Caenorhabditis elegans: one gene and its partners. The protein of the gene in region 1 interacts with the protein of each later gene in a biochemical or structural test. Each region holds a gene or a part of one and is shown in the gene's direction. Other genes may lie near its edges. The genes, in order: frpr-19, flp-14 and flp-8.

Region 1 (7,756 bases):
CTTCCACCACCACCACCACCGCCATATAAGCCTGTGTGAAGAAGAAGATGAGGATGAAGATGAAGCAGTAGACAAGGACGACACACATGTGTGTTCGTCAATATTTCCGTTGCTCTGCGTCTCTGTAGTGATTAAAGCATATCAGGCGGGTAGGAGATTCATCTCGAAATTTCTTTTTTTGGCTCTCTTTTTCTTACTCATAGACACTCTCACGCAATTATACAAATATAGGTATCAGACCTATAGAACTTTAATCTCTGTTCAATTGATTTTTTTGAAGTGTGATTTTGACAACACTTTTTTCTCACTTGTAACATTTCTTCACTAAACATTCATAAGTTACGTTACTTATTAAAAACATGAATGATGAGTCAATAATGAACCTTGGAAGTGAGCAAAAAGTGTGTTGTCGGTTTAAGTCTAACGGCTTGAAAGTCTTTCCAACACGTTTATTCAGTAATAGAAAAAACTTTCTACCTTTATTTTACATAACTGTAACGTATAAGCTCTCAAAGTTTAACAATCACACTTTACCAAAATGCCACGTGCCACATGAACTTTTCCCGCTGAAATCAGTGTATGACGTTAGCCAGGTGAATTTTCGTATTGCGCTTTTTCTCCTCCTCCCACGGTAGTTACTGGAAAATTAAATTACCAAACGTGTTATACAAACGTGTTAAACTACTATTTTCTTTTAGTTTTTTTAGATGAAAAAATCTTGAAGGATCACTGTGATTTTGTGAGCTTGAATTTGTAGTTTTAGTAAAGTTGAGCATTTTACTGGAAACAAATTTGGGTCAATTGAAAAAAAGATATTCAACTGCATTTGATTTGCTAAGTTCTAAAAAATTTGTCTTCAGAAAAACTTTTCCAAATTTTTTTTGACTATATTTTTATGGCTAGACATTTTACGTGGCCAGGGATGTGCGGCAAATTTTGAAATTTGCCGGGCTCGGCAAATTCGGTAAATCACAATATTTCTTGGAGCTTAAAAATGCCAAAAAATAATTGAAAATATTAAGTTCACTGGTATAGTTCGATTTTTTCCTAATGCGCATGTGGATTTTTTGAATAAAAAATGAAAGAAACACGCTGCTATGTTTTCTTTCATTAAGTTTCTGATCGAAACCATTAGTTTTGAGCAAAATTTTAATGAAACATTTTTAATGAGTGCAGCCAATTTCAAAATTTGCCGAGCTCGGCAAATTCGGCAAATCCACATTTTTGAAATTTGCCGAGCACAGCAAACGACAAATTCGGCAAATTTGCCTCCCTGGTCGAGGCGTCGAGGAACAACTCGCCCTCCTTCGCCCGGCAGCTCCTGGACGAGAAGCTGGCCGGACCTGAATTTGGAAGACTTTTGAGAGTTTGGACTTTGTGAAAAGTTCTGCCCTGATCCCTTAAAACCTCTGAAATCAAATTATTAATCTCTGCCACACTCTCTCACTTTGCCCTTCCGTCACCTTTTCCATCAAAAATGCATTGCACCTTCCCCCCCCCCTCCCCCTTCTGTTTCTATTTTTGCCTCTAAATTTCATATTTTCCACCTGCAAGCCCCCTGTCACTCCCCTCTTGTTTCATATTTTCTTAATATTTCTTTACCTCTTTTCAGGCCGACTTGTCGGTGTCCTGTTCATCACCGAGGAGCGCTACAATCAACGGTTCCCGCCAGTTCGGCCACGCTACCCATCACCGCCGCAAGAATGACGACGGACGCTAATTTCACTGGCGACCCGTCGCCGCTCGTTTCCGTACTTGGTTTGATCAAGTCACCTGATTTGATGATTGGCTCAACAGAGGTGCCGTTGTTTGAGGAGGAGGATATGTGTACACCACTCAACATTTCTTGTGCATGTCATACGGACTACTCAAGTTATGAAGGTTTGGAGAGGTGAGCCGGGGATACTGTACTTTAAAGGTTCATATTTCGGTTGGGTGTGATAATATCAACAAAAAAAAACAATTGCAGTAAAACATAGAAATAACAATGGGAAATGCTTTTTTTAATAAAATTTTTTGAACAGAAACCATAGATATGAGATGCTCATGGTGCATCGATCGAGAAAGTTCCACTTTTTGACTTCAACCGCTCATATCTCGCTTGGTTTTAAAGATACCAAAAGTTGGCAAACTACACAAATGTAGAAAAAAGAAAAATAAATACTTTGTTAGTTGACAACTTTTGGATAAACCCAAGGACAACTGAGAAATGAGGTGCAAGACCAGGCTTGCACATGGTGCATCGAAAACTACATTGCGTGACTTTGGCCGCTTATATCTCGGCTGATTTCAAGCCATTGCAAATATTTTAACTAGAAAACTATAGAACAAATATCGTTCATTTTTTCAATTTACTAGTTTTTGAATTTTTGAATTATCGGTAGAATTAACGGTGGCCGAGGACCTGTCTCGAAGTTCAAGTCGAAATCCACCTCGCCCACACACTCAACTACATTTTTCCAGAGTATTTCTTGGCCTCGTCGCAGTTCCAGTAATCATGTTCGGCATTCTGGCAAACGTCACATCAATGCGCATCTTTACACACCGTATCATGTCGGGATCCTCAATCAACTGGTATCTTGCCGTACTCTCCGCGTCTGACACGTTGATTCTCTTCTCCGCGTTTTTTGTGCTCTCGTTGCCGCGTTTCGGAGAATATCTCACCTGGTGGCGGGCGAATTATATCAGGTAACTATTTTTGAACTGCATAGTTTTTAGAATAAGGCCACCTGGCAAAAGTTCTGGAAATTCGTCTTTAATCAGTCATAGGACAGGCAAATTACTGGACATGGACACTGAAAATGGTCCCTTATTCCAGCTATTCGGTGACTCCGTGCATGTACGGTCTAATGATGACCGCCCAGACGTGCAGTGTCTTCATGACGGTCGGTGTCTCCGTTCATCGCTACATCGGCGTCTGTCATCCGTACAAATCGGTCGAGTGGCTGCCCAAGAAACGGGTCACCACTTTCATCATTGGTCTACTCACGTTCTCCGTGATTTTCAACACGACTCGGTTCTTTGAGGTGAGCGTTTTTGTAATAGGTTGGGTGACTAGGGGAGTGTGAAACCAAGAGCATAAATTTTCAAACTATTGGCTGCCTTGTTTCAAAAATGACCTTTAATAAATATGAGCACCTGCCTAGTACATACTGGCGATTGTGTGGTTTGGACTGAGTAAGAGTTATACACCTGATTATTTGGGACGATGTCGTGGGCCTATAAGACCATTAATATGCCCAGTGACGTCCAAATAAGCTCTTTTTTAGACCGGCTCTCACTAATCATAGAACCCTGAACGATTGTCGAAGTAATTAGGACAGACTAGATTTAGACCAGAGGTGTGCGCGGCAAATTTGCCAAATTTGCCGTACAAATTTGACGGTACAAATCTGACTAAAACTACTCATTTTGTCGCAAAAAATTCAGTAAAACGGTATAACATTGAGTCATTTTGATGCTTAAGCAGACATAATACACGGAACTTATTCGGAAACCAGATGTTTATCGGAATTTAGTAGTTTTGGTGCTCCAAAAAATATCAAAAAGTATCAGTATCAAGCCACACACCCCTGATGTAGACAGACTTCTTAGTCTGAGCAGAGGTCATTTCGGCTTACATCTGTCCTGTAACTGCCGCCTAATTGAATCCCTTGAAACAGTACGAAACCAACCCCACTTTCTGTTTCAGGTCCACATTTCCAACGTGTGCTACCGAGAAAACATCGACTACTACATGCCATCACTTCAGCCGACCGCTCTTCGAATGAACGATCTGTATAGGCAAATATTCTTCGGATGGGCGTACACCATTGTGATGTATGTGGTGCCGTTCACACTGCTGATCGCGCTCAACTCGATGGTGCTGTCGGCGGTGAGACGGTCGAGGCGGATGCATATGGTTTCGCAGGTATGGGACTTTATGTTTTGTGGGTTGATTAGATCTCAAAGCAAGGTCGATACTACTACCACCATATATACTAATTGTAATCGATAGAAATGCATTAGTTTATAAAATAGCGTCTTTAATTTGTATTTTGTTTTTTAAGCTCCAATTATAAGCAATGAGAGTTAATTTCAAGATAGCGATACTGTGCGATACTGTGCTGGTTCTATAATTATCACGGCACGAGTACAGATGTTACGCACTTATGTATACAAAATTTGAGCCCCATTTTGAAAATTGCAGCCAAGATTCGAAACAGTGTGAGAAAAAAGTATTTTAGAAAAAAAAAAGATCTACAATACAAAATCCAATTGTTTCTAACTTTAGTGTGGCGCCGAAAGTGAGGAGTTCTCGAAGAAAGCCGAACGAAAGGAGCGACAAACTTCTATTATGCTCATCTCAATCGTGCTCCTGTTCATCGCCTGTAACACTCTTGCATTCGTTTGCAATATTATGGAGAACATGGGCACTGAGGGAGCAATCTATCAAACTCTTGTCACTTTTAACAATTTATTGGTGAGTTCTGACTAAAGAAGGTTGTGAAGGCTCCAGCCGACTTTTGATCGAGTCATATTTCATTTGAAAGTGCAAAGACTGAATATGACTTCCAGCTGCAATGCACATTTTGCAACTTGTCGGTGATAATTTTTATTTCTAGTTTAAAAACTTGTGCTAGCCATTTTTCGAGAAAAAAAATTGTTTTTTTTTGCGAATATTTATTATTAATCAATTATTAATCAAAAATTGCTCAGTTAATTTTTTTTTTTCGATTGACGTTTCACACACGAATACAATAAAATTCCACCAAAACCAGCCACTAATTATTAGATTTTCATTAGATTAATCTGAAATTGTTTTTAATTTTTTTTCTAAATTTATTAATAACCTAATGGGGTTGGTTATTCATGTGATGACAAAAAAAAAGCAAAAATGCATTTTTCTAATTTTTCGACATTTTTCTAGATCGGTCCACATAAAAATACATTTTTGCATTTTTTGTCATCACATGAATAACCCCATAACACGTGCTCGCTGGCTGTCTCAAAATTCACGTTTTCTCGCGGACGAGAAAACTTGAGAAATGTGAGAAAATGGCCTAGAAATCCTGGAAGAGGAGAATTCCTCGTCCACAGCCAAAATAGCGTGTGAAAGAAGAGATGCAGACGGCAAAACGGTTCTTTGCGTTTTTCACGTCCAGAGAAAAAAGTAGTACAGTGCGTACAAGTTCTATACGCCACCCCCTAAATTTATGCATGTGGGCACGTCTGAATTTTTTAGAAGAATTCTGCTGATGCCATTTGATTCCAAATCCTAAAAAACCTATGAGCCTGAATTTTCATGACCGTACCTCAAAAACTAAATAAATTAGGTCAATAAACCGAAAAATTGGCCGTACAACTTCTATACGCCACCCTCAATTTTTTGACGATTTTTTCAAAACTTTTGATTTTAAAGAGGTAGTTGAAGAGAATATTTATAAATTTGATTGAATATCAGCAAAGAGTAACTTTTCCTACGACCACAAAACATTTTTGTCCCAACCCGATTTACTGTGGAGCGCCAAAGAGCCTGTAACGTGGATTATGGCTCCCACGTGAGATATAACCTCGAAAGTGTGGGGATATGTTCTAGACACTATTCCAACATCTCAGGTAAATTTTGGTCTGATTTGGGCGGTTCTTCGTGCTGATATTAAAACATTTCAGTAAGGTCTAGCCACTTTTTGGCTACTGGCATGCTTAGAGGCCGAAATCACGGTGCACATGAATCCAGTGGGGATGCATTTTTGCGATTGAGCTACAGCAGATTTCGTAGTATTGTTCTTGAACGCAACAATCAAGGTTACTATCATCAAGCGCTCTAGCGATTTAGAAAAGTTTTAACTTGAAACCACAGTAGAAATGCACTGAAAACACACAAATTTTTGATGCTCCGCATTTTCTTCGGATAAGAGGTGAGATGACGAACATATGAATAAAAATAGTGATTTAATTGTGGTAATCTCAATATTTTTTATGCTTCAATCTCTCTAAAAGGCACGGGCGCCGTGATTTCGGCCTCTAAGCATTCCAGTAGCCAAAAAGTGGCTAGACCTTACATGAATGTGTTTCTATCGAGACGAGGAACAGTCCAATTTATGCCAAAATTTGCATGAAATGTTTGAATAGTATCTAGAACATATCCTCAAACTTTTGAGGTTATATCTCACGTGGGAGCAGAAATCCACGTTTCAGGCCCTCTGGTGCCATTGGCACTCCATGGATCTACGAATTGGGACAAAATTGTTCTATGGTTGTAGGAAAAGCTACTGTGCACCGAAATTCACTCAAATTTATTAATGTGCTGTTCAACTTCTTCTCAAAAATTGTAAATTTTTGAAAAATCATCAAAAAATCGAGGGTGGCGTATAGAAGTTGTACGGCCAATTTTTCGATTTATTGACCTAATTTTTTTAATTATTGAGGTAAGGTCATGAAAATTTGGGCCTATAGGTTTTTTAAGATTTGGAATCGAATGGCATCAACAGAAATTTTTTTGAAAGCACAGACGTGGCCACAGGCATAAATTTAGGGGGTGGCGTATAGAACTTGTACGCACTGTATCTGCGTCTCTCACGCCCAATGGATAGCGAGAGTTGGCGCCAACGTGAATTCTCAATGAGGCGCGTTTGCTTCAAACTTATGCAAAAGGACAGCCAGCGACCACGTGCCATAACCGATGTAGAAAAATGTCGGAAAATGCAAAAAATGCATGCGTTTTTTTAAATGTTTCTGCACACATGAATAGGGGGAAAACTGTATAAAAATACATTTTTGTATTTTTCGTCAGCGCATGAAAATCAGTATTATTGATTTATTCCAGGTGATCATCAATGCTTCATGCAACATCTGTGTCTACATGCTGTTCTCTGGCAAATACCGAATGCTTCTCCGCTACTATCTGTTCTGTGATTGGTCCCGACAGGGAGAGCTACTCGTTAGTTCCGTACTCAATTAGTCATTTTCCGTTTTATTTTTTTTTCTTTCCCCAACCGGTTGCTTTTGTGTTTTTCCCCCAAATGTTCTGTTTTTGTAATAATTTTCTTTCTTCTATCCATTTAGTTGGGGTATTGGTATTGCTTTGAAATTTTTGGGAAAGTTAAATTTTGCAAATTTTTGCTCAAACTTACAAAAATTAGTTTTTTTTTTTTTGGAATTTCACAGAAATCGATAATTTTTTTCAAATTAAAAATATTTTAAAATTCGGTTTTTTTCTGTAATTTTCAAAGAACTTTTTTGTATTTAAAGTATAATTTTAATAAGATCAAACTGAAAATTATAGAATTTTGGTTTTTGTTAAAGTTCCTGATTTCATAGTAAAATAATTATAGAAAATCGGAAAAATCTGTCTCATTGCGATTTGATCTACGAAAAATGCGGGAATATTTTTCCAGAAGAATTGTGACCCCAGAACAATTGTGACGTCAGCTTAACCATGTGCAATCATGATGAGATGTCTGCGTCTCTTCTGCCGCATTTTTCAAAGATCAAAGCGAAATGAGACTGTTCTGACTTCACGTGAGTTTGAATAATTTGGAAAAAAAATCGTTTAAAAACTTGACATTCCAAATTTTGTATTTTTTTTTGTATTTTTTTAAAAGTTTTCAGGCAATTTTCAAAACTTTCAACAGAATTTTTTTTTATTTTTTGTCTGAAAATCATTTGAAAAATAGGTCAAAATCTATTTGAATGTGGAGATCTGATAAAAATTTCAATTTCAATGTGAAAAAAAATTTCAAAAAATTTCAACTCCCAGTACCCCTTTATTTCG
Region 2 (6,834 bases), on another chromosome or scaffold:
AAGAAAGTACAAAAAGCCCGAGGGAAACTGACCTGATGTTGTTGACGACTTTTCTTGAAGAATGCGTGGGCTTAAGAAGCCTATTTACTACCTAAAATTGGCCCTTCTTCACGGGCTTTCAGAGTCCCTCATATCTTGAAATGGCAGAGTTTACTGAGAACCTAGGCCGCGGCCAAGGCCACGGATTTCTGGCTTCCCTCATAAATTGAAATGGAAGAGTTTGCCGAACTAGGCCATTTTGGCTCGGCCATATCTGGGGTAGATTTACGGCGCGTTGCGTGTCGCGTCGCGGCTCGATTGTAAAACTAAATGTCCGTGTGGAGTTCACACGACTTTCCCGGCGGCCGATTGTCAATGGAGCGCGAAAAAATCGATGAGGAAGGCTAGAAGCCTGTGCATCATTTCCGCAAATTTTTTGAAGCTCCGTCGCGGTCATGGCCGATGTTCCCAACTCTCTCGGAACGCTCCGTCTTCATAAAATGGGTCTCATTAGGAATTTGGTCGTTTTAGCTATTATTCGTTATTTTTAATGATTTTTTTCGATTTTTTGATTTTTTGATTTTTTTCGTCACAAAAAACATTAAAACACACTGAAAAAATTAGAAAAATTAACGAAATCAGGAGATATAAAAAAGTTTGAATTTACGATTTTGTCGCCAAAAACCTAACGAGACCCAAGTTATGTCACTATGCGGCAATTCAAAAAAAGACAAATGTGTTATTTTGTTCTGGAAGTTACAATTTTTCACAAAGTCAGACCAATTAGAGCAGCCTCTTTCGAGTGAAAAAAGAAAAGAAAACACTTAACGAGCACACACAAATTTTAGAAGAAAAAAAAACGGAGCACCACGTGGAGAATTGCACGAAAACAACATTAAGCGATGGTTCTATACTTCCTTTTTTGTTCTGAACGTTTAATTTGGGAATAGTTTGAGCAAAGCCTAGGCTGGTCTAGGCTGGTCTAGGCTGGCCTAGCCCAGCCTAGCCAAGCATATTTTAGCCTAGACTCCCAGCTTGGCTAACCTTGCCTAGAATCCCAGTCTTGCCTAGCCTAGCCAACCTTACATAACGTATCCTACGCCTACCTAGTCTAGCCTCACCTAGCCTAGCCTAGCCTAGCTTAGTATACCCTTAACTAACCTAGTCCAACCTTATCTTACCTATCTTATCCTATGTCTACCTAGCCGGGCCTAGCTTAATCTAACTTCCCAGTCTTGCCAAGCCTAGCCAAGCCTAGCCAAACCTAGTCAAGCCTAGCCAAGCCTACCCTCACCTATCCCTGCCTAGCTTAGCCTAGCCTGGCCTAGCCTTACCTAACTTATCCATCGCCTGCCTAACCTGGCCTAGCTTAATTTGTCCTATTCTTACCGAGTCTAGCCTAACCTAACCTAGTCTGTCCTAGCCTAGCCTAGCCTAGCCTCACCTAGCCTAGGCTCACCTAGCCTTGCCTACTCTTCACTAGACTCCTAGACTTGCCTAGCCTGACCTATCAATACATCTGCTCTGTTCAAACATTGACCTCCTCTGTCACTTAACTCAATATGCCCCTGGGCCTCCTTACGGAACCTCCGATACATTTTTTTTGGTTTTTTTTATTTTTTATTACTTCCGGGGCAGATTCTCAGATGTTTGAGGTGTTTTCTCTTTTCCAATTTTCCCGGAAAATTTTAGCGAAATCCTGCTAATCCGGGGACCCCATCCCCTCGGCTAATTAGTATTTGTTTTTTTTTTCGTAAAATTTTTAGTGCTACCGTACTCTTGAATTTTGTTTCATTTTTTTTTCTTCTCCTCGAGCTCTACCAAGCCACGCCCACAACATTTCACTTTCAACACCGAGCTCCGCCCATTTTGAAGTCTCCTCTGGCTCCAACTGAGAGCTCTCTTCATATGATGATCTGCCTGCCCACCGCGCTTCTGCTCTCCGCGTTCGTCGTGGCCGCCAGTGGCCAGGAGGCACCGGCTGGAGCCGGAGCTTCTGGAGCCGCACAGGCTCCACACAATCCGAAGGATTGTCAAGCGGTGAGTCAAAAAAAAACCATTTTGTTCTAAGAAGTTTAAAGTCATGTTTATAATTGGGTTTAAAAAAGTTTTTTTTTTCAAAACTGCAAGTGGAAGTTATAATGAGATAGTTTAGTGCATTTTGGAAAAGTTTTTCGAAAACTAAGTTAGGGCCTGCGTGACGTCATACATCCCATGGTTCTCAAAATTCTGAGAATGCGTACTGCGCAACATATTTGACGCGCAAAATATCACGCAGCGAAAACTAATGACTACTGTGTATTGGTTTGATCTACGCAGATCTACGAGAATCGCGGGAACTTAGACGCAGACTTCTTAACTGATTTCGCATGGTTAAGAACGTGCTGCCGTCACATTTTCTGGACAAAAAATTTGATAAATATGATATTCTTTTGATCCTCATGACGTTTCGGTTGTAGTAAACTTAATAAGATCACAATTTCTGCTCATTTTTCGGGGGAGGATTGGATGCACAATAAAGATTAAACAACTTGCGATGAATAGAAAAAAAATCTATTTTCTTTTTCATAGTTAATCTAGATGATTCTAACCTGATCATACTATTCTCTGTTTGATTTGAATGTGTTTTTTTGTGGGGTTGGAAAGTAGTAGATCAAAGTTTTTTTAGAACTCCACTTTGGTAGATCATAACTCGGTTCATTTTATAGATAGCAAAATTTTTTAAACTATAAAGTTGCAGAAAAAGAAAAAACCTATATTTTTCTAGTTAACAACTTTTTGATAAAGCTAAAGATAGCCGAGATATGAGCTGTCAAATACGGGCTTCATCTCACCGTAGTCCTCGACAAAAATCTGAACCTATAATTACAAGGCTTCCGGTTGGTTTTTTTTTTGAAACCATGTAATTTTCGTGCTTTTCCCAAGGATTTTGTTCCGGAATAATCACTGGGTTTGAAAAACGTACTACTGTAAAAAAACACATTTTCCAGATTCTGGCCAACAACGGCGATCAACAAGAGGCGCTTTTGTGCCAATTAAGCGAGAGCAGCATGCTTCTTGCTCAGCTCGGAGCTCTCGTTTCGGAGGGAGTTGAACGTCTCGTTCAGACTCACGGTAAGTAGGCAGGTAGTAGGTAGGCAGTAGGCAGGCAAGAGGCAGGCAGTAGGAAACAGGGGCACCGCCGAAAATTTTTTTTTCGATTTTTCGGTTGTTTTTGAGCATAACAGAAAAACAAAAAATTTAAAAAAAAACCGAAGATCCGGCAGCCCTGGTAGGTAGGCAATAGGCAGGCAGTAGGTAGGCAGTCGGCAGGCAGTAGGCAGAAGGGGTGCCTTTGCCAGGTTTTTCGGTTTTTTTGGGCAAAACCGAAAAATCGGAATACCGTAAAATTGGAGTCTGAAAAACGAAAGTTGGCAGTAGGCAGGCAGTAGGCAGATAGTAGGTAGATAGTAGGCAGGCAGTAGACAGGCAGTAGGCAGCAGAGGTGCCTATGCCAGGTTTTTTTGGTTTTTTGAGCATAACAGAAAAACAACAATTTTTTCAAATAAACCGAAAATCCGGCAGGCAGCAGGCAGGCAGTAGGAAGGCAGTAGGCGGGTAGTAGGAAACAGAGGCACCGCCGAAATTTGTTTTTTCGATTTTTCTGTTTTTTTTTTAGCAAAACCGAAAAACGAAAATTAAAAAAAAAAAAACAGAAAATCCGGCAGGCCAGGTAGGCAGTAGGTAGGCTGAAGGCAGGAACTAGGCAGTAGGCATGCAGTAGGCAGGTAGTAGGCAAATACTAGGTAGGCAGTAAGCAGGCAGTAGACAGGCAGTAGGCAGCAGGGGTGCCTATGCCAGTTTTTTTTTGGTTGTTTTATAGCAAAATCGAAAAATCGAAAAACCGTAAAATGGGAATCTGAAAAACGAAAGTTGGCAGCAGGCAGGCAGTAGGCAGGCAGTAGGCAGGCAGTAGGTAGCAGGGGTGCCTATGCCAGTTTATTTGGTTTTCTGTCTTAGCAAAACCGGAAAACAGGAAAACCGGCAAGCCTAGTAGGTAGACAGTAGGCAGTAGGCATGCAGTAGGCAGGTAGTATGCAGGCTGTAGGTAGGCAGTAGGCAAGCAGTAGGCAAGCAGTTGGCAGAAGGGGTGCCTTTGCCAGTTTTTTCCCTTTGGTTTTTTTTTAGCAAAACCGAAAAACGAATTTTTTCTTTAAAAAACACCGAAAATCCGGCAGGCCTGGTAGGTAGGCAGTAGGTAGGCAGTAGGCAGGTAGTAGACAGGCAGTAGGCAGCAGGGGTGCCTTATCCAGTTTTTTTGGTTTTCTGTCTTAGCAAAACCGAAAAATGGAAATACCGTAAAATTGGAATCTGAAAAACGAAAATTGGCAGTAGGCAGGCAGGCAGCAGGCAGTAGGCAGACAGTAAGTAGGCAGTAGCAGGCAGTATGCAGAAGTAGGAAACAGGGGCGCCGCCGAAATTTGTTTTTTCGATTTTTCGGTTTTTTTAAAGCAAAATTATTTCAAAAAAAAAAGCAGAAAATCCGGCAGGCCTGGTAGGTAGGCAGTAGGTAGGCTGAAAGCAGAAACTAGGCAGTAGGCAGGAACTAGGCAGTAGGCAGGCAGACAGTAGACATCCGATTTGCCAGCTGCATGAGTCAAACTTCATTTTCTCTGCATCAAATAAGCCTCCGGTGACCCAGCCGAAAGCCTAGACTATCAATCACGTTCCGCCATTTTCTTGAAAAAGCCCCTGACTTTTAAAATGTAAAGCGCCAAATTCTTTTTAAATTCTTAATGATGGTTGTGCTCTTGCTTTGAGGTCTGATCCCAATGGGAAACGTTGTTGCAGGATTGGCTCTCGAGGAGGAGACCAACGAGGGAGACAATGACATGGAGAAGCGCAAGCACGAATACCTCCGATTCGGAAAGAGAAAGCACGAGTATCTCAGATTTGGAAAAAGGAAGCACGAGTACTTGAGGTTTGTGATTTTTTTTTAGTTGTAAGGCAGGCAGTAGGAAGACAGTAGGCAGGGTGTAGGCAGGCAGTAGGCAGACAGAGAGTAGGTAGACAATAAGCAGGCAATAGGCAGGCAGGGAATAGACAGGCAGTAGGCAATCAGTAGGCAGGCAGTAGGCAGACAGGGAGTAGGAAGACAATAAGCAGGCAATAGGCAGGCAGTAGTAGGCAGATGTTATTATGGCGCCGCAAAAAGCTGCAACTGTTAGATGGGGGCAAATACGCTCCAACGTACAAATGAATACACCCAGGAAATTTTTGGAACCAATTTTCTTAACGAGACCCAAATTATGGCAGCGTTTGGAGCGCAATTGCACTTTTTTTTCGAAAAATTGTCATTTTTGCGTCACCGTAATACTTCTCAGGTCTCTACACGAATTTGCTTGTTTTTTTTTAATACAGAAGGAATTCAAAAGCCTATAAAGATTACTGTAGTGTCCTGCAAAATATTATTTATTTACACAAAAATAATACGGACAAATTCTCGAGGAAATGATAGAAAAACTTTGAAAAATCGATGAAAATCAAAGTCGCACACCTTTTCGAATTTAACGAAAAATTTGTCGCGTCGAGACCTGTATTTGTGGCTGAAAAATCGTGTAACAAACTTGCGCGTAAAATATGATGTCTGTGCATCGAATTTTATGCGCGAATTTTTTTTCCCACTTTCACGGGGTTCAGGCCTTCCTCATTGCATTTTTCGCGCTCCATTGACAATCGCCTGCCGGACAACGCGTGGGAAAGTCGTGTACTCCACACGGACAAGTGATTTAGATTTACAACTAAAATCAAGCCGCGACGCGACACGCAATGCGCCGTAAATCTACCCCAGCTATGACCGAGCCAAAATGGCCTAGTTTGGCAAACTCTTCCATTTCAATTTATGAGGGAAGCCAGAAATCCGTGATTTTTCGAGCACAATTTAACGGAGAGAACAAGCTCTGATCTTCGCACTTTTCCGTAACACTATTAAACTTCAAAAATTGAATTTTCGACTCAAATTCGGTGTTCTTTTTGTTTGTTTCTAAATCAAATGTCACACGATGTCTCTAAAGGAAATTGTGTTCCATCAAATTTCCCCTATTTTTTTCAGATTCGGAAAGAGAAAGCACGAATACTTGCGTTTCGGACGCAAATAAGAAGGGAATATCTACTATCATCGAAGAAACATCTTTGAAAACCATACAAATAAAAGAAGAAAAAGACGGAACTACAGTACACCATTTTTTTTTGAAAGATTTTTTTTTCTATATTTTTCTCTCTATCTCTTTTCTCTCTCCCTCTCAGCATTGTCGAAAGAAGAAATTGTAATAAATCTTGTCGTTGGTTAAGAGTTATTTTCTAGAAGTCAGAGGAAGATAAGTGCGCAACCGACATTAAACAAGGTTCACGATGAACCACTTTAAAAACGATTTAAAGAAAGCAAACTTCTGGGTCTTGTAGAAATTTCTGGGAATCTGGATTTTTTGACAAGTTTTGCTGGAATGCTCAGAAAAAAAAACACTTCGAATTTTTTAAAATGTACGGTAAATTTTTTATTAGAATTTTTGTCAATAATTCCAAAAAATGAACAAAAACGCAATTATAAGATCCCTTCGAGATAAATGGAACAAAAAAAAAAGAATAAATATAAGTAGATCGTATTAGAAATTTACATGAAAATGAGCAATAAAAAATCCCAAGACTTCTGCCGAATTACTGCACGTAAACTCCACGATCGTATTTATTGAACTTTTGCGAGCGCTGTAGAATCTTATCGTTGACAAGATTTGCAACGAAAATGGCAGCGATGCCGAGGAAGCATCCAACGTTGAGTCCAGCCATTGCCTGTAAGAAATTAATTTTGAAAAGTTTGTT
Region 3 (3,014 bases), on another chromosome or scaffold:
TTTTGTGTGTATGTGTTTTGGATTCCTCTTCTCACATTTGCGGTCACAACAGTATCGTTCATCGGTTTTTATGTTGTGATAAAATAGAGAAAAAGTAAAACGAGCATATTTTTGATAGCGGAAGAAAAATTTTGAGATTACATATAACAAAGCGGAAAGTGATTATCAAATGTCAAATTATCAAATAATTTGGAAGCTTTTCAATTCAATATACAGGGTTGATTTTCAATAGGTGGTGCAAGTAAAAAAGAAATACTGTATTTATATTTAAAGATAAATACATTTTGTTTAAACACGTAAATATTGTTTCAAGCTGGCCGCATATCAAAATAAAACCGTACAAAAACTTTCCAGTTTTTCTTAATTTTCAGTCAAGGTTTTAGTAAAATAGCGAGGCGACGAAAATATATAACTTTCCGAGAAGTTCAGAGCAGTTAATAATTATTATCAACTTTTTACAGAATGGTTTACATTTTTTCAACATTAATTATAGTTAAAGGACAATACATTTTTCAAAATATTCACTGTAAATATGAATGAATACTTTTGGAAAATAATCAAAAAGCTGACTGACTACTGTTAAACAATGGCGGAGTGATAAACTAGCAAATTCACTTATTATGCACATAATTATAATGCAGGATAAGATGACTGACTTTCAAGACATTCACTATTTAATGATTAGACTTCCATTTTTGACCATCCCATTTTGACATAAGAACTCCTTGATATTTTGTTCTCTTTGAAAAGTCTTGTTTTACTCTACTTTAAATGAATTCATTTTCGTCATGGACGATCTCTTCAAAAAGTATGTGGGCACCTTTACTTTGAATACACGCAATCTTCACCGTAGTTTCATGTTGCTCGAATGAATATTCAATGATTGGAGGGCAAGATTTATGAAGAGATTGCCGTGAAATCATTTTGCGAGGCGAATCATCGAGGAAGCAACTGATTCGTGATGAATAATTTGCGCGGTGGATAAGTTTTTGGTTTCAAAGTACCCCCCCCCCCCCCCCCCGAGAAGAGGTGGAAAAAAGTTGAAGAATTAGATGAAGGAGAAGTCCAAGTGTTACGTCAACAATTTACAAATGCATAGAGTTGGTATAATTAGTTTCGGAGGGTGTCGGTGGCTAAATTTATCTGTTAGTTACCTCCCAGCATGAATTCCGTGTATTCACTGTGTTCAGTCCCTCGACTGCTCGGTTATACAGCTGATAGATAGACGAGGAAGAAGAAAACACACAAAAACGTAAAGTGGGCCTCTTTAAAAAAATTTAAAAAACAAAATAAGGACACAAAAATATAAATATGCATTGTTTTCATTTTTCAAAACGAGGGTAGCTTCGAGAAATTTCCATTTTCAAATCAAACGAATTGCTACAACAATGTCAAAATGTTAAAATTTTTCTTGGTGGTACTGTATGACTCTAAAGTTTGATCTGGAAAAATTTGTTTTTTCGTAGATAACGTTTCTTACCTAAAAAGCGGTTTTTAACCTGATAGTTGAGATAACCTGGTTTATACAATAAATTTTCAAATGAGATAATTTTTAATAACTTTAAAAAAAAATTTTTTTATATCGTTGGTTTTCGAAACTTGATTTTCAGCAAATTTTTAAAATTTGAATCAACTTGCTCTCAAAGACACGTTTATTGTCTTACGACTTTTAAAACCGGAGTAAATTTAATTTTTCGATGAATCAATTTCAGATAAATCTCAGAACAAGCACTTTACTGTTTCTTACTTGTTTTATGCAATTTACCATTTCAAGTTTTCTATGCCCCCGCGTTCTTTTACCAAACGCCTTCCAGTGGACACTCTAGAATTTCTTCAGCACAAGAAGGCGTGGCCTCTGAAAAGGCGGAGCAAAGTGCGCGGAGCCCAAGTTAGTGGAGAAGACGGACCAGTATATAAGCCACGAGCAGTGCTCAGTCCACACTTTTCAAGTAGAAAATGCTCTCCGGAGTCCTTTTTTCTATTTTTGTACTCGCCATATCGGCCAACGCTAGCTGTGATGTGTCCGCACTGACCACCGAGAATGAGAAGGAACTCGGACTCCGGATTTGCCATCTTGAGGTATGTTGATCATTTTTTTTAGTTTCCAAAGTGGTTTTTTATTCCTGTAAAATCTAAAATGTTTTGCAGGCGGAGATGCAAGTCGTCCAAAGAGCCTTGCAGGAGGTGATGCAGCAGACAGATGTCACACTGTACGATCAAGAAGTTCCGGTGATGAACAAGCGTAAAAACGAGTTTATCCGATTTGGAAAACGCAGTGACGGGTTAGTACATATTTGGTATTTGTCGGTCATTTCAAATATCATTTCTTTCTCAGAATGGAAAAACGAAAGAACGAGTTCATCCGGTTTGGAAAGAGAAAAAATGAGTTCATCCGATTCGGAAGATCCGATAAGGGACTTGGACTCGACGACAACGACGTTTCCAGTGAGTTTTTCGGTTACACCTCTGATGTATTTTATCTGTAAGTGGTTTTGCAGTGGAGAAACGAAAGAACGAATTCATTCGATTCGGGTGATTCGCGTTCAGAGATGGATGTGTGCTTCTTGATGATTTGGGCCAAATTGTGTTCTATACTGATAATGTTTTGTTAGATTTCTTATTCTCCATGCTAATTTTTTTTCTTTTATCTCTGCAAAACGTCAGTTAGAATAAACTTTCATTGTTTTTCTGGTTTTTTTTTCTTTTTTTTTCCATCTTATCTCAATTTTCACAAGACTTGGATATTCACAGGCTTGATGTATGAATTGCATAATATGTCCCAGCCGAATGACCAAATCCGTTTTTTTTCTTTGTATGACCACTCATCGTATTCAAATTTGCTTACAAGTACGCATGATCCCCCTGCGGGCGCGCGCATCAAACAGACGTAAGACCGGTTTTCGAGGAAAAACTGTGTATATCTTTCTATCCGAAATCCTGTGTCATTGAAATATTTCACAATTTGGATACAATTTTCTCGGCCCAAACATGTTGTATAGTCAGTGAGAAGAAGA

What was found.
Region 2: the proteins of frpr-19 (region 1) and flp-14 interact in a test that uses a peptide from one of them, tested with the Caenorhabditis elegans proteins (one large-scale study listed by BioGRID).
Region 3: the proteins of frpr-19 (region 1) and flp-8 interact in a test that uses a peptide from one of them, tested with the Caenorhabditis elegans proteins (one large-scale study listed by BioGRID).

Annotation. Positions count from the first base shown.
Region 1 is NC_003282.8:1,775,510-1,783,265, reverse strand, and holds the start of frpr-19 (G-protein coupled receptors family 1 profile domain-containing protein), read left to right. Parts: upstream 1-1,703; coding exon 1,704-1,891; intron 1,892-2,463; coding exon 2,464-2,688; intron 2,689-2,818; coding exon 2,819-3,026; intron 3,027-3,691; coding exon 3,692-3,910; intron 3,911-4,273; coding exon 4,274-4,462; intron 4,463-6,808; coding exon 6,809-6,922; coding exon of another isoform or gene 6,923-6,943; exon of another isoform or gene 6,944-7,756.
Region 2 is NC_003281.10:12,908,625-12,915,458, forward strand, and holds flp-14 (KHEYLRF-amide 4), read left to right. Parts: upstream 1-1,885; 5' UTR 1,886-1,887; coding exon 1,888-2,019; intron 2,020-2,969; coding exon 2,970-3,093; intron 3,094-4,809; coding exon 4,810-4,939; intron 4,940-6,070; coding exon 6,071-6,116; 3' UTR 6,117-6,306; downstream 6,307-6,834. Other genes in the region: Y37D8A.16 (MARVEL domain-containing protein), read right to left, coding at 6,673-6,804.
Region 3 is NC_003284.9:14,879,582-14,882,595, forward strand, and holds flp-8 (FMRF-Like Peptide), read left to right. Parts: upstream 1-1,837; 5' UTR 1,838-1,956; coding exon 1,957-2,079; intron 2,080-2,148; coding exon 2,149-2,282; intron 2,283-2,335; coding exon 2,336-2,486; downstream 2,487-3,014.